Caenorhabditis elegans: one gene and its partner. The protein of the gene in region 2 interacts with the protein of the main gene of each other region in a pairwise test. Each region holds a gene or a part of one and is shown on either strand. Other genes may lie near its edges.

The links.
Region 1: the proteins of cyn-2 (region 2) and K09E4.1 interact in a two-hybrid assay, tested with the Caenorhabditis elegans proteins (one large-scale study listed by BioGRID).

The regions. Positions count from the first base shown.
Region 1 is NC_003280.10:14,134,472-14,141,277, reverse strand, and holds K09E4.1 (Protein kinase domain-containing protein), read right to left. Parts: upstream 3,441-6,806; 5' UTR 3,393-3,440; coding exon 3,219-3,392; intron 2,426-3,218; coding exon 2,102-2,425; intron 1,850-2,101; coding exon 1,244-1,849; 3' UTR 1,208-1,243; downstream 1-1,207. Other genes in the region: cacn-1 (Splicing factor Cactin), read left to right, coding at 926-1,125, 4,544-5,001, 5,905-6,286.
Region 2 is NC_003281.10:13,690,775-13,696,588, reverse strand, and holds cyn-2 (Peptidyl-prolyl cis-trans isomerase 2), read right to left. Parts: upstream 3,922-5,814; 5' UTR 3,858-3,921; coding exon 3,789-3,857; intron 3,506-3,788; coding exon 3,254-3,505; intron 3,096-3,253; coding exon 2,898-3,095; 3' UTR 2,778-2,897; downstream 1-2,777. Other genes in the region: cul-2 (Cullin-2), read right to left, coding at 4,492-4,620, 4,881-4,973, 5,474-5,814. UniProt on the Caenorhabditis elegans protein: PPIases accelerate the folding of proteins. It catalyzes the cis-trans isomerization of proline imidic peptide bonds in oligopeptides.

The sequences.
Region 1 (6,806 bases), on a different chromosome or scaffold from region 2:
CTACTGAAAATCGTGAAAATTTGGAAAAAAAATCGATTTTTTCAACACAAGCCCAACTTATTCCTGAAATAACTGAAAAACACAGGATTTTTGCCGAAATTCCCCAATATTTTGTCCGAGAGGAGTACACGGTGGCCTGGAAAACTTGATGACGTCATATTTTAAACATTTACTCGATTTTTTCCAGAAAAAACCTGAAAAAACAGGATTTTTCGATTTTTGCTGAAGTTCCTCAATATTTTGTCCGAGAGGAGTACACGGTGGCCTAGAAAACTTGATGACGCCATATTTTAAAAATTTACTCGATTTTTTTCCAGAAAAAAACTGGTTTTTCTCGATTTTTGCCGAAATTCTTCAAGATTTTGTCCGAGAGGAGTACAAAATTCATATTAAGTAGCGGAAATTAATTTTCCAAGAAAAAACTATTTAATTTTCTTTTAAAAATTCATTTTTGTCGGTTTTTCCCTGAAAACTCTAAAATTCAGCAAAATTTTGTCCGAGAGGAGTCAAAATTCATATTTTTCAAAATTAAACCACTTTTTCAGTTTAAGAATCATTTTTTTCCTCGAAAGTACTAAAAAGTATATTTAAAACTCTGAAATTCGGCAAAAATCCCAATTTTTTCCTGCCAAAAAGCCCTAAAATTCTGAAATTTTGCGTATTCTGAGATTTTTAATCGAAAAAGTCCAATTCACATCAATTTTTAGAAAATTTACACGCTTTTTTCAGAAAAAAATTGGAAAAAAAATTTAAAATTCCAAGAATTGTCCGAGAGGAGAAGTTACTTACAAAAAGTTACTTTTTCCAGTTGAAGAAGCGTTTTTTTCACTTTCAAAATCCTAAAAAAAAAGTATATAAAACTTTAAAATTGTGTCCGAGAGGACTTCAAAAGTGGTGGCCTAGAAAACCCAATTTTCTCTTCCAGCTTCATGCAAATCAGTCGACGACTACGAGGATCTCATCGAGGACATCAAAACGTACAGAGAAGTCGACGGATGGGCCAAAAACGAGACTTGGTGGATGGATGTTACACGAATCGCCGAAGACGAGATTCAGAAGAAGGCCGCACAGAATCGAGGTGATGTGCATGCGAGTGTGCAGACAGAAGTTCAGAATATGTTCAAGGTAGAGTGCCTGAAAATGCTGAAAAATTAACTTGAAACTTTAAAAATCCTCCGGCAAAAAGCCCAAAAATTGACCCTATTTTCCGCACAATATTTAAATTTTATTCAAATTTCAATCCCTATTCCGAGTTCTCTTCCTCAACCGCCGGCTCCTCTTCCTCCGCGATCGTCGGAATCTCATCGGCACGGCACGCCACAAAACGTGGAAGCTCATCCGGCGTCGGCTCCCGCTCGAAATCCATATTCTCCTCGTGATCCGTCACACCTCCGAGCTCCTTGTAGATTTGCTCCGTGAGCCCTGCCAACTTGACATATTCCTCCTCCTCGACAACCGAGTATTCCTTGGCGATAACCACTTCGGCAATCTTGTGGAACACCTCTGGAAGCTCCGCGAATTCCTTGCTCTTCTGGAACTCGGCCTTCTTGACTCCAGCCTCTTCGCGGCTCAGACTTCCCCATGGGAGCTCGCCGAGCACCAGGTGAACCAGCTGGTAGAACCATGTCTCGAGATCCTGCCGGGCGCCAACAAGACCATCGTCACTGCACGGAGCATAATCCAAGCAGCCAGCGTAGCTAGCAATCGGAGCTCCATCATCACCAGAAATGTTCTTGACCAAAGACGAGATGTCCGCCATGAAGAGGTGACGGCTTGCCGCATCGTAGTGGAAGCTGTTGAGATCCATGTTGCGGACGAGGTAGCCATGCTTGTGAGCACATCGGATCACCTAAAAATGAGCAGTTTATCAAGAATTTCTACAAAGTTCCGTGAAATTGACAGAAATTCTGGAGATTTCAAGCAAAATAAGCTGAAATTGAGGCTTCCATGGTAGGCAGGCGCCTGCCTGAGATCGCCATGAAGCCAGGCAGGTAGGCAGGCGTTCCAGCGCCAACACGGGAGCTCAAGCTCCGCCAGAAGCCTAGACAGCCCGTTCAAGCTTCAGAGCGATTCCAGCTAGGACCTCCAGGAGCCAACTAACATTGAGCACATCCTCGGCCAAGCGTCCAGCCGTCCCAAGCGTGAACTTGTTCCGCATCGCAAAGCACTGCTCCAACGTCGGTCCACCACGGAAGTACAGCGACATGTGCCACGCGTCGTCGGTCAGAAAGATCTTGTGAACTTGCGAGAAGAGCCGCCAGTCCTGAAGCTCGGCTTCCACCTTGCACAGGAATGCCGCCTCGGCACGAACCACATGAGTCAGCGCGTCGATCGGTGCGACGCGGACGACGAGCTCTTTTCCGTCGGCGCTGAGCCCGAGGAACGTTCCGCCGACCTTGTCGTCGTAGCCGATTCGTTCGAAGATCTGGAAATTGTGGTTTAATTTTTGGAAAATTGGGAAAATCGATGAATTTCTGAGTTTTTTTTTCACTTTTCCAAAGACTAGCAGTTTTGCGGAAAATCGCTAAAATTTCCGGCAAATCGGTAATTTGCCGAAAATCACAATTTTCCGGCAAATCGGCAAATTTCTGGAATGAAAAATTTCCGGCAAATCACCAAACCGGCAGTTTGCCGAAAATCACAATTTTCCGGCAGATCGGTAAATTTCCGGAATTGAAAATTTCCGGCAAATCACCAAACCGGCAGTTTGTCGAAAATCAAAATTTTCCGGCAGATCGGTAAATTTCCGGAATTGAAAATTTCCGGCAAATCACCAAACCGGCAGTTTGTCGAAAATCAAAATTTTCCGGCAAATCGGCAAATTGCCGGAATTGAAAGTTTCGGGCAAATCACTAAACCGGCAGTTTGCCGAAAATCACAAATTTCCGGCAAATCGGCAAATTGCCGGAATTGAAAATTTCCGGCAAATCGGCAAAAAAATTTGCCGGACGGCAATCGCCGCCCACCCCTAATCGACAGTGCCAAAAACTGCATTTTTTGGTGATTTTTTCGCTAAAAAAAAGTCCGGACAAAGACGGGAAGCCTGAGTTAAGAAGCCCAAGCCCAGCCACAACCTTCGCTGCGTGGCCGGGAAAGAGAAAACTCGGCCACCGAATTGTTCGCGGCCACGTGGCAAATGTGCTTGAAAAACGACGAAAACCTGAGAATTTTGCGGGAAATTCCTGGGTTTTTCACAAGATTTTCGAGTCATTCCTTACCTGAACTTGCCCGTCGACCACATGATCCGGCTGGTAGCACGGGATCCCGTTGATCAGCTCGTACTCGACGTTGTGCTCCTCGAAGAGCTCCGATTTTTGAGCAGCTGACGGCGGTGGAAGAGCCGGTCCGATGGCTTCTTGCTCAAGCTCCTGATGCTGCTCCATTGTGTCCATTTTTCGTCGAATTTGCCTCTTGTTGAACGTTTTGAGTGAAAACAATTTCTCAAACTGATTCGAATAGTCGAGAATTTCTGAAGGGACGTGGTTTTTTTTTTTGGAAAAAAATGGTCACGTTTGTGAAAAATTGACAAAACAATGAAAATTAAATTTAAAAAAAAAACAATTATTTTTGCTGATTTTAACGGAAAAATCTGGAATTCAAGCGATTTTACTGATTTCCAGCCAAGTTTTTGAAAAAAGAGCTGAAAATTTCCTATTTTGCTCACTTTTCAAAAAAGAAAAAAGTACAAAACCACATTTGCCGAACATTTTCGGCAAATTCGGCAAACCAATTTGCCGGAAATTTCAATTCCGCCAATTTACCAGTTTGCCGGAAGTTTCAATTCCGGCATTTCATCAATTTGCCGGTATTTTCCATTCCGCCAACTTGCCGATTTGCGGGAAATTTCAATTCCGGCATTTCATCAATTTGCCGGTATTTTCCATTCAGCCAACTGGCCGATTTGCCGGAAATTTCAATTCCGGCATTTTACCAATTTGCCGGAATTTTCGATTCCGCCATTTTACCAATTTGGCAGAAATTTCAATTCCGGCATTGTACCAATTTGCCAGAAGTTTCCATTCCGGCAATTCATCAATTTGCCGGAAATTTCAATTCCGCCAATTTACCAATTTGCCGGAATTTTCAATTCCGGCATTTTACCAATTTGCCGGAATTTTCGATTCCGGCATTTTACCAATTTGCCGGAAATTTCAATTCCGGCATTTTACCAATTTGCCGGAAATTTCAATTCCGGCATTTTACCAATTTGCCAGAAATTTCAATTCCGGCATTTTACCAATTTGCCGGAAATTTCAATTCCGGCATTTTGCCGGTTTGCCGAGTTGCCGGAAAACTTGTTTGCCGCCCACCCAAAAAATCCAAAAAAAGTACAGATTTCGAGGAAAAAAACCAAAAAAATTCAAGCTAAGAGCATGATTTTTGTCAGTTTTGTCAATTTCATTGAAAAATCAAAAAAAAAACATTTTGAAACGGCTTTTATAACTTATTTTCAGTAATTTTTTGCGGAAAATTGTCTTTTTTATCGCAATTTGAGCCGAAAACTCTGAAAAAAAAAACTCAATTTTCCCCCGAATTTTTCCAGAACAAATCAATCGATGAGCTGCTCAAACTGGAAGACCAAATGGACGCAAAAATCCGCGGAAACAGTGGAAACAAGGGTTACTGGCAGGATTTGGACGATCAGCTGAAGGTTTTTATCGCGCGGAAGCGACTCCGCGAGCATCACGGCCGTGTGCTCCGGCTCCAGTTGGCAATAATTAAGGAAGAGCAGAAAAAGGAGATTCAGCAGCAGGAGTCGGAAGAGCTCCTCCCGGTGGCTGAAGTTCCACCACAAGTGAAAATTCAGAAGGAAGAGGAAGAAGAGGAGGAGGAGGATGAGGATGATGAGAAAATATCGAAGAAAGTTCGGAGAAAGATCGATGTGCAGACGCTTGATGATCCGGAGCTCGATGAGCCGGAGAGGGAGAGAAAATGGAGAGCACTGACGGGAGATCAGTTGGATGACGTCACTCGGGAGTTGTACAGAATTGGATGTTATAGGTTTAGCATTTTTTTTTTGGCAGAAAAACCGTAAATTTTGCAAAAAAATTTCACAAAAATTGGTTTTTATTCACTGAATTTCACTGCAACTTTTTCCTCACGAGGGACGAAGAAAAGTGGTTTCTAGGCCATGGCCGAGGGGCCGACAAGTTTCAGCGGCCATTTATCTTGCTTTGTTTTCCACGTGTTTTTTTCGTTTTTTCTTAATAAAACAGATAAATAAATATTTTTTGCAGATGCTAAAACAATTTCCAAGTGAAAAAATTATGTATTCAGTGGGCAAGCAGCGGTGAAAGTGGTCAATGTAAAATGATGGATTACGGGAATACAAAACCTAAACTTTTTCTGAAACATGATACATATGATGCTTAGATGCTGAAATTACCTGATTTTCATAACGAGATCGCTGAAAAAGTTTTGAGGTTTTCAAAATTCAACTTTTTGTGCGAAAATCTCGACTTTTTCACCAAAAAAGTTGAATTTTGGAAACCTCAAAACTTTTTCAGCGGTCTCGTTATGAAAATCAGGTAGTCTCAGCATTTAAGCAGCATATGTATCATGTTTCAGAAAAAGTTTAGGTTTTGTATTCCCGTAATCCATCATATTACAATGCCCACTTTCACCGCTGCTTGCCCACTAAATACATGATTTTTTACTTGGAAATTGTTTTAGCATTTGCAAAAAATATTTATTTATCAGTTTTATTAAGAAAAAACGAAAAAAATCGATGAAAAACGAAAGAAAACAGGCGGAAAACAAAGCAACATAAATGGCCGCTGAAACTTGTCGGCCCCTCGGCCATGGCCTAGAAACCACTTTTCCTCGTCCCTCGTGAGGAAAAAGTTGCAGTGATAATGTGATTTTTTTGGCATGAAAGAAATCTCCAAAAAATCAATTTTTCAGTCCTACCTACATCAGCGCCGACGACACAATGCCCGGAATCGAGATCCTGGATGAGCAGGCCGACGTGGATAATCTAACAGAACGTCGTAACAGGAATCGTGGAACACTTCCATCATCCTCCGCCGCTTCGTCAGGAGCTCCACAAGGAGCATCATCGAAAATGATGGCAATAGCTCGTGAAGGGATGGAAGCCGATGAATCGATATTCGGAGCCGAAGAGCAACTGGCGGCTCAGCGACACCTCTGGTCGGATAAATATCGCCCACGCAAACCGACATATTTGAATCGTGTCCAGACTGGATTCGACTGGAATAAATACAATCAGACGCATTATGATCAGGATAATCCGCCGCCGAAGATTGTACAGGGATACAAGTTTAATGTACGGAGAAACTTTGGAAAAAAGCCTAAAAAAGCTTGAAAACTTGAAAAATAGCTTGAAAGTTTGGAAAAAGGCTTAAAAATTTGAACTGAGCTTAAACGTTTGGAAATAAGCTTGAAAACTTAGATATAAGCTTGAAAATTTAGATATAACCTGGAAAATTTAAAAATAAGCTTAAACTTCTAAAATTAGCTTGAAAATTTGAAAATAAGCCAAAAAATTCGGAAATAAGCCAAAAAATTTGAAACTAAGCTTGGAAATTTAAAATAAGCCAAAAAATTTGAAACTAAGCTTGGAAATTTAAAAATAATCTTGAAAATTTGAAAATAAGCCAAAAAATTTGAAACTAAGCTTGGAAATTTAAAATAAACTTGAAAATTTGAAAATAAGCTCAAAAATTCAAAAATAAGCCTAAAATTTTAAAATAAGCTTCAAAATTCGACTATAAGCTTGAAATTTGAAAAAAAAACCTGAAATTTTGAAAATAAGCTTAAAACTTCAAAAATAAGCCTAAAAATTT
Region 2 (5,814 bases):
GTGTAAAACACATTTTGATGCACCATGGAAATAGTTCTTATATGCGCCTCAAAAATATTGTCGGAAAAATATGAAATCTTGGAAAAGGTTTATAAAACGCAAACGTGGGACCCTGGTATTTTGTACGGTATTTCCATGGTAATTTCGCAAATTTTTTAATGGTTGTAGAAAGGAGAAATAGATATTTAAAAAATAAGCCTTTTGCCGATTTAACTAATAGTAAAAACAACTCGGTGAATGCCAAAGTTGGAGAAATCGAGAAAATTCAAAAAATTAGTTTTATTATATAGTTTTGCAAAATGAAATCTTTGGGGAAAAGTTTTCCGATTCGAAAACTGATGCAAATTTTTTTCAAGTTTTTAATAAAAAAGATCTCGAATTTTCAAAATATTTCCAAACGTCATATGCCACAAACATTGTAATGCAGTCGAAAATAAAATTTAGGTACACCGACAAAATCCAGATTATGAAAATGTTGAAAAATCAATAATTATTAAAATACTCAAAGAAAAGTTATATATTTTTAAAATTCAAACAATAGATAATTCAAAAAAAATTGCCAAATCATTGGAAATTTTCGGCAATTTTTTTTTCAAAAATATATGTACAACTACTAGAAAAAGTAACGTGATTAAAAGTGTAGAAAGAAGAAATACCATGAAAGCGGGGAAGTTCCAGGACCTCCACCACCATTAGTTTTCGCATTTCGTTTAAAAAAATCGAAAATCCTGATAGGAAAAGGGAAATGCTTATGAGAAGAGAAATTCGAGGAGGGAGATGGAAAGTGAAGAAATTGCTGGAGAAAGTAAAAACAGAAATGAAAGTGACACTGAACAACACGAGACACACTTACTGTCCCGGATAACGATCCAATCGACCAGGAACCTTTTTTTTTGACAACACATTTGTTGGAAGAGTTTTTAAAACTTTAAATTTATTAAATAAAATTCAACGACACAACCAGGTGTGCGCGGCAATCAGAAATGTTCGGCAATTTTCAAAACTAGTTATATTTCGGAAATTGAAAAAAAAATGTCACCTTGTATTTTAGTATTCGGTTTGTCATTTTCGAAAACAAAACTGTCAATCCTTACAATTAGATTAAATCATTTTGAGCTTGAAAAGAGATAATTGTTCAGTAAAATGCGTGTTTAGGCTCTTACATCTATAAAAAGTTTCAAACTTACAGTTCGGGCAATTCTGATTTTCGTAAATCGGCAATTTCAGCAATTGCCGAAAATTCGTTTACCGTACGGCAATTGACACGTACCCCTGGGCATAACAATAGTTTTCTTTGCCAAAAAAATTGATTTTTTTTGAATATTTTGAAATAAAAAACATGGTATTTACACAAAGTTTTGTGCGGAAAATTTGCCTCATTTGCCGTTTGACGATCTTGGCAAATTTGCCAAATTTGCCAAATTTGCCGGGCACGGCGTTCAATTTTGAGCAAAACAATAGATTTTGTTCCCAAAGTTTAGTAAAATAACATAAAATGCACGGCAAATTTGCCAATTTCGCCCTGCTCGGCCAATTTTCAGATTTGCCCCACATGCCTGCTGTAAACACTAGGCTAATACATAGTAAGGTTGACAAGTTAAATGACAAGCAATCCGCACATCTTGGTTTTTTTGAGTTTCTAAATCCAAAGTGTCCGATTATAAACTAAAAAGCCAATGAATGGGAGCAGCCTATTTTGAGAAAAACACAGGATTTGCTGTATACAGTTATTACGGGAACAATAAATCATGAGAATGCGTATGTGGAGCATTTTATTTGTCATATCTCTTAGCGAAGACTACAGTAAGAACTTAAATAACAATAGTTATTTGAGTTCTTACTGTAGTTTTCGCTAAGTGATATCGATATAAAAAAATAAAATGCTCCACGTACGCATTCTCATGATTTATTGTTCTCGTAATAGTACCGCAGATTTGAGCGGAGCCTGTTTTCAGATTTAAAAAAAGCTTGCTAACGATACCTTTTTACAATTCACTCAGTTAGAGATAAGAAAAGAACTCGTCCATATTTATATTGGTTCTTGAAAAGCCAAGACACTGGCGAAGTTTATTTACAGGAAAAACGTCTGTAAAATTTTTTTAAAGCTTATTTTTATCGATTTTCAAAGTATTTTTGCTACAAATCAATTTACTCAAAAATGAAAGAAATGCAAGAAAAAACAGTGCTATATAAAACTATGGGGAAAAAGTCAGTAAGCACTCTTGATTGGGGGAGTCATCACTGCTCTTTCTCTGCGTCTCTTATTGACCATCTGCCTCTCTTTTTCTCTCCCTCTCAGTTTTTGACCGAAAATAGCGGTGGTGATGATAAGAGACGTAGGCATCCAGAGAGAACTGTACATACGTCACCACGCGGTTTTCAACTTTTTTTTGTTACTTTTATATCTCTGACGGAATTCGTGTAGGCGGCTGGGCAATTTCTAGAAAATTCACGCAACAAAAAAACGACTGACATTTCAGCAAAGAGACTTCATGGAAAGTTAGTTCGGGGGCCTCTGATTTGTGGAAGTAAATATATTGATATAAAACTAGAGTTTGCTGAAAACGTGAAAGTTTGACTTCAAAATTGAAAGAGCCCTCTAAAAATCCACGCGGCAGCCTTGTATGAGGGACTCCGTCAAAATTCCACAAACTTGCATCCCCGGAGTTTGTTTGCCATAAAATCACAAAGCTTTTGAGGCTGAGACATAATATTTAAAATTCTAATAAACTTTAGAGATATAAAGTGGTCCCCCCACTGTAAATACGATTAAAAACTTCACGAATCATTGTCTTTCGAATTCACGTATCAAAAACTATGCTTTGTTAAAAAAATGAATAAAAATCATATTTATCCAATAAAAAGACGAATTCTCCAGTGTTGTTCTTCGAGAAGCATCACTTCATTTCTCCGCAGTCAGCAATGACGCACGGAGCCGACGGTGCCCCATCTTCGGATCCTTTCGACTCGATCGCCTTCACCACATCCATTCCTTCGATCACTTTGCCGAAAACCACGTGTTTTCCGTCTAGCCACGTGGTTTTGACTGTGCACAGGAAGAATTGCGAGCCGTTTGTGTTCGCCCCACAGTTTGCCTGAAAAATCAATAGTCAATTCCAGAGCGCATAAAATTTCAGAAAGCCCGATATTCACAAAAATTTCAAAGAAAATTTGATCAAATATCGACAATAACAGAAAAATCGATAACTTGAGTAAATATAATATCGATTTTTTAGTTTTTCAGAATCTTCACCATCGACAAGACTCCGGGTCCGGTATGCTTCTCCTTGAAGTTCTCGTCGTCAAACTTCTCGCCATGAATCGATTCTCCGCCGGTGCCGTTTCCCTCCGTAAAATCGCCGCCCTGGATCATAAACTCGGGGATGATGCGATGAAATTTGGATCCTTTAAAGTGCAACTTCTTGCCCGATTTCCCTTTTCCTTTCTCGCCGGTGCACAGAGCGCGGAAGTTTTCCGCTGTCTTCGGCACGATGTCGTTGTAGAGCTGCAACGACAGGTTTTAAAAATCTTTAGTTTATTGATTTTTAAATGTTGCCAAAATCTAGTAACTTCCTGAAAAGTCGAAAAACTGGCAAATTTCTGCAAGACCATTGAAAAAGATTTTACAATCATCCTAAAAACCGATAACAGAACGACAAAAATCGATAAATGGCAACAAAAAATTATATCGATTTTCTCAATTTATACTCATTAAAGTGCAAACTGACATACCACTAGCGCCTACAGTAATCATATTTGCTCCGAGAACCTAACGCTGCCCCCCTTACCTCCATAACGATGCGTCCTCCCTTCTTTCCGCCAATCGTGATATCGAAGAACACTTTGACACGTGGCATCGCTGATCGATTCTTTTCGCAGTAATAAATTTAAAACTACCGACGTTCAAATTTTCCATTATGACTTGCCACGTGCCGTAAGAGTGTCGTGGATCAAAGTTCAAGTTCAAAAACGTGAAAATTTAAATGAAACAAAATTGGAATTTTGGGAAGGATAATTGTCTACTTTATCGTAATCATAGAGATTCCGGAGAAAAAATAGTTGCTTGAGGAGGGAGGATAGAACACAAAAAAAAGACAAATATAGTACATATACATTTTCAAGGAGAGGCTACGGACTGGTTGGTTTTATAGGCAAATAGCCGTTTGTCGGGAGTAACAGAGAATTTCCCGCGATTTTCAGTTTTTGAGGGCTCCAAAAGTATAAAAATAGGTATTCCAATAAACAGTTTGATGATTCCCCGTTGCGCAGCTCCAGCAAAAAATGATATAAAATATGTAAGATGAGGGGCGAGGGGATTTACTTTCAGTACAGTTCAATTTGGAAAAAAAGCAATCATTGTTAGAAAATCTTGAAAAATAAAATTATAGTGGGGATTTTGAATGGCATGTTTCAGAGTCATTTACACAGTGTAAATTTTAAATTTTAGTTTTTTGCCTCTCAGGGAAAAAACACGCAAATAGGGGGAGAGAATTAGGCCAAATATTGATACTCGTCATTTTGATCGGTTCGCTGAATATACATTTTCTCGATAAGGTCCTCAATGCTCTTTTTGATGAATGGTACGTCGGGCGAGAAGCGGCCTTTCGTTTGGTCCATTATCTGCAAGAAAATGTTGTTTTCCGCATTTTTGATGTGGAATAGCACATTTTGCAAAAAGATTTTTTTCGCTTTTTTTTGGGGGGTTCCGGACCAAAAACTGTTTCTAAAATTGTTTGTTTTTCTTTTTTGGAGGAAAATCCACTTTTTGATTTTCAGTTTCTTGGTTCAAAATTCAAACAAAAATATTTTTGTAAAGCATTTTCAGTCGGTTGAATATCTCGTTTTACAGGGTTTTGACCAACAACAAAAATCTAACAAACCTCAGTGACAAGTGCATTGTGTTTCAGAACCTTCCTGGTCTTCATAATTCTGACAATTGCGCACTCCATATAGTACTTTCGGTCTTGTGAAACCTGGAACTAATATTGACGATTGCGAGGCACACGTGTTTGGATAATCTAGCTGCATCGAGGCGGGGCCTAACTAAATACGTCTAGTCTCTCAGAATTCTAGGCCACAGTTTATAGCTTTGATTTAGGCTCATTGGCTCAAAAAGGGAGCAGATAAATTGTTTAATTGATTGAATTGACTCAAAGTTTCCACAAAAGACCAAATTTCATAGTGAGACATTTAAAAAAATTTTACGAAGGTTTAAAATTTCGAAAAAACACCTAAACTCTTTATTAAAGATTTTTCAGCATTTGAGATTTTAGTTGAGCTTGGCTTGTTTTAATTTCCACCGTCATAAAAATGCTGAGAATTTTTCAAGGTGTCTCATTTTAAAACTTGGTTTTTGAGATCGTTTAAAAATTTTTAAAGTCTAGGACTAAATAAAATACAGATTTTTAGTGCTTGAACTCAAAAAGTCATAACTTGAGGCCCTCGCCAATGAAAAACAAACTGAAAACCCTACAGTATTCGCGACGGCCTCCTGCTCCTTCTCGACAGCCTTATTCACTTGTGGCGCCTGAAGCCGGAACTTCATCCGTTTCGACGTCATCGACATGTTCAGACGAACCAACGAGTCGGCCGTTAGATTCTGATCATCACACGTCAGCAGGGTAACGTCCAAAATCGTTCGAATCGTCTTTAGCAGATAGTCACCGCTCACACCAATCTCCTCTCCGATGTCCTTAACGAGGATAGCATCGCGACGTTCAAAGCAAAGCAGCGCTGCCATCTGATAGACATACATCTGTGCGACATACTGCTTATCGAGGTATGTAAGCCTGACATCTCCCTGTGACATATTGA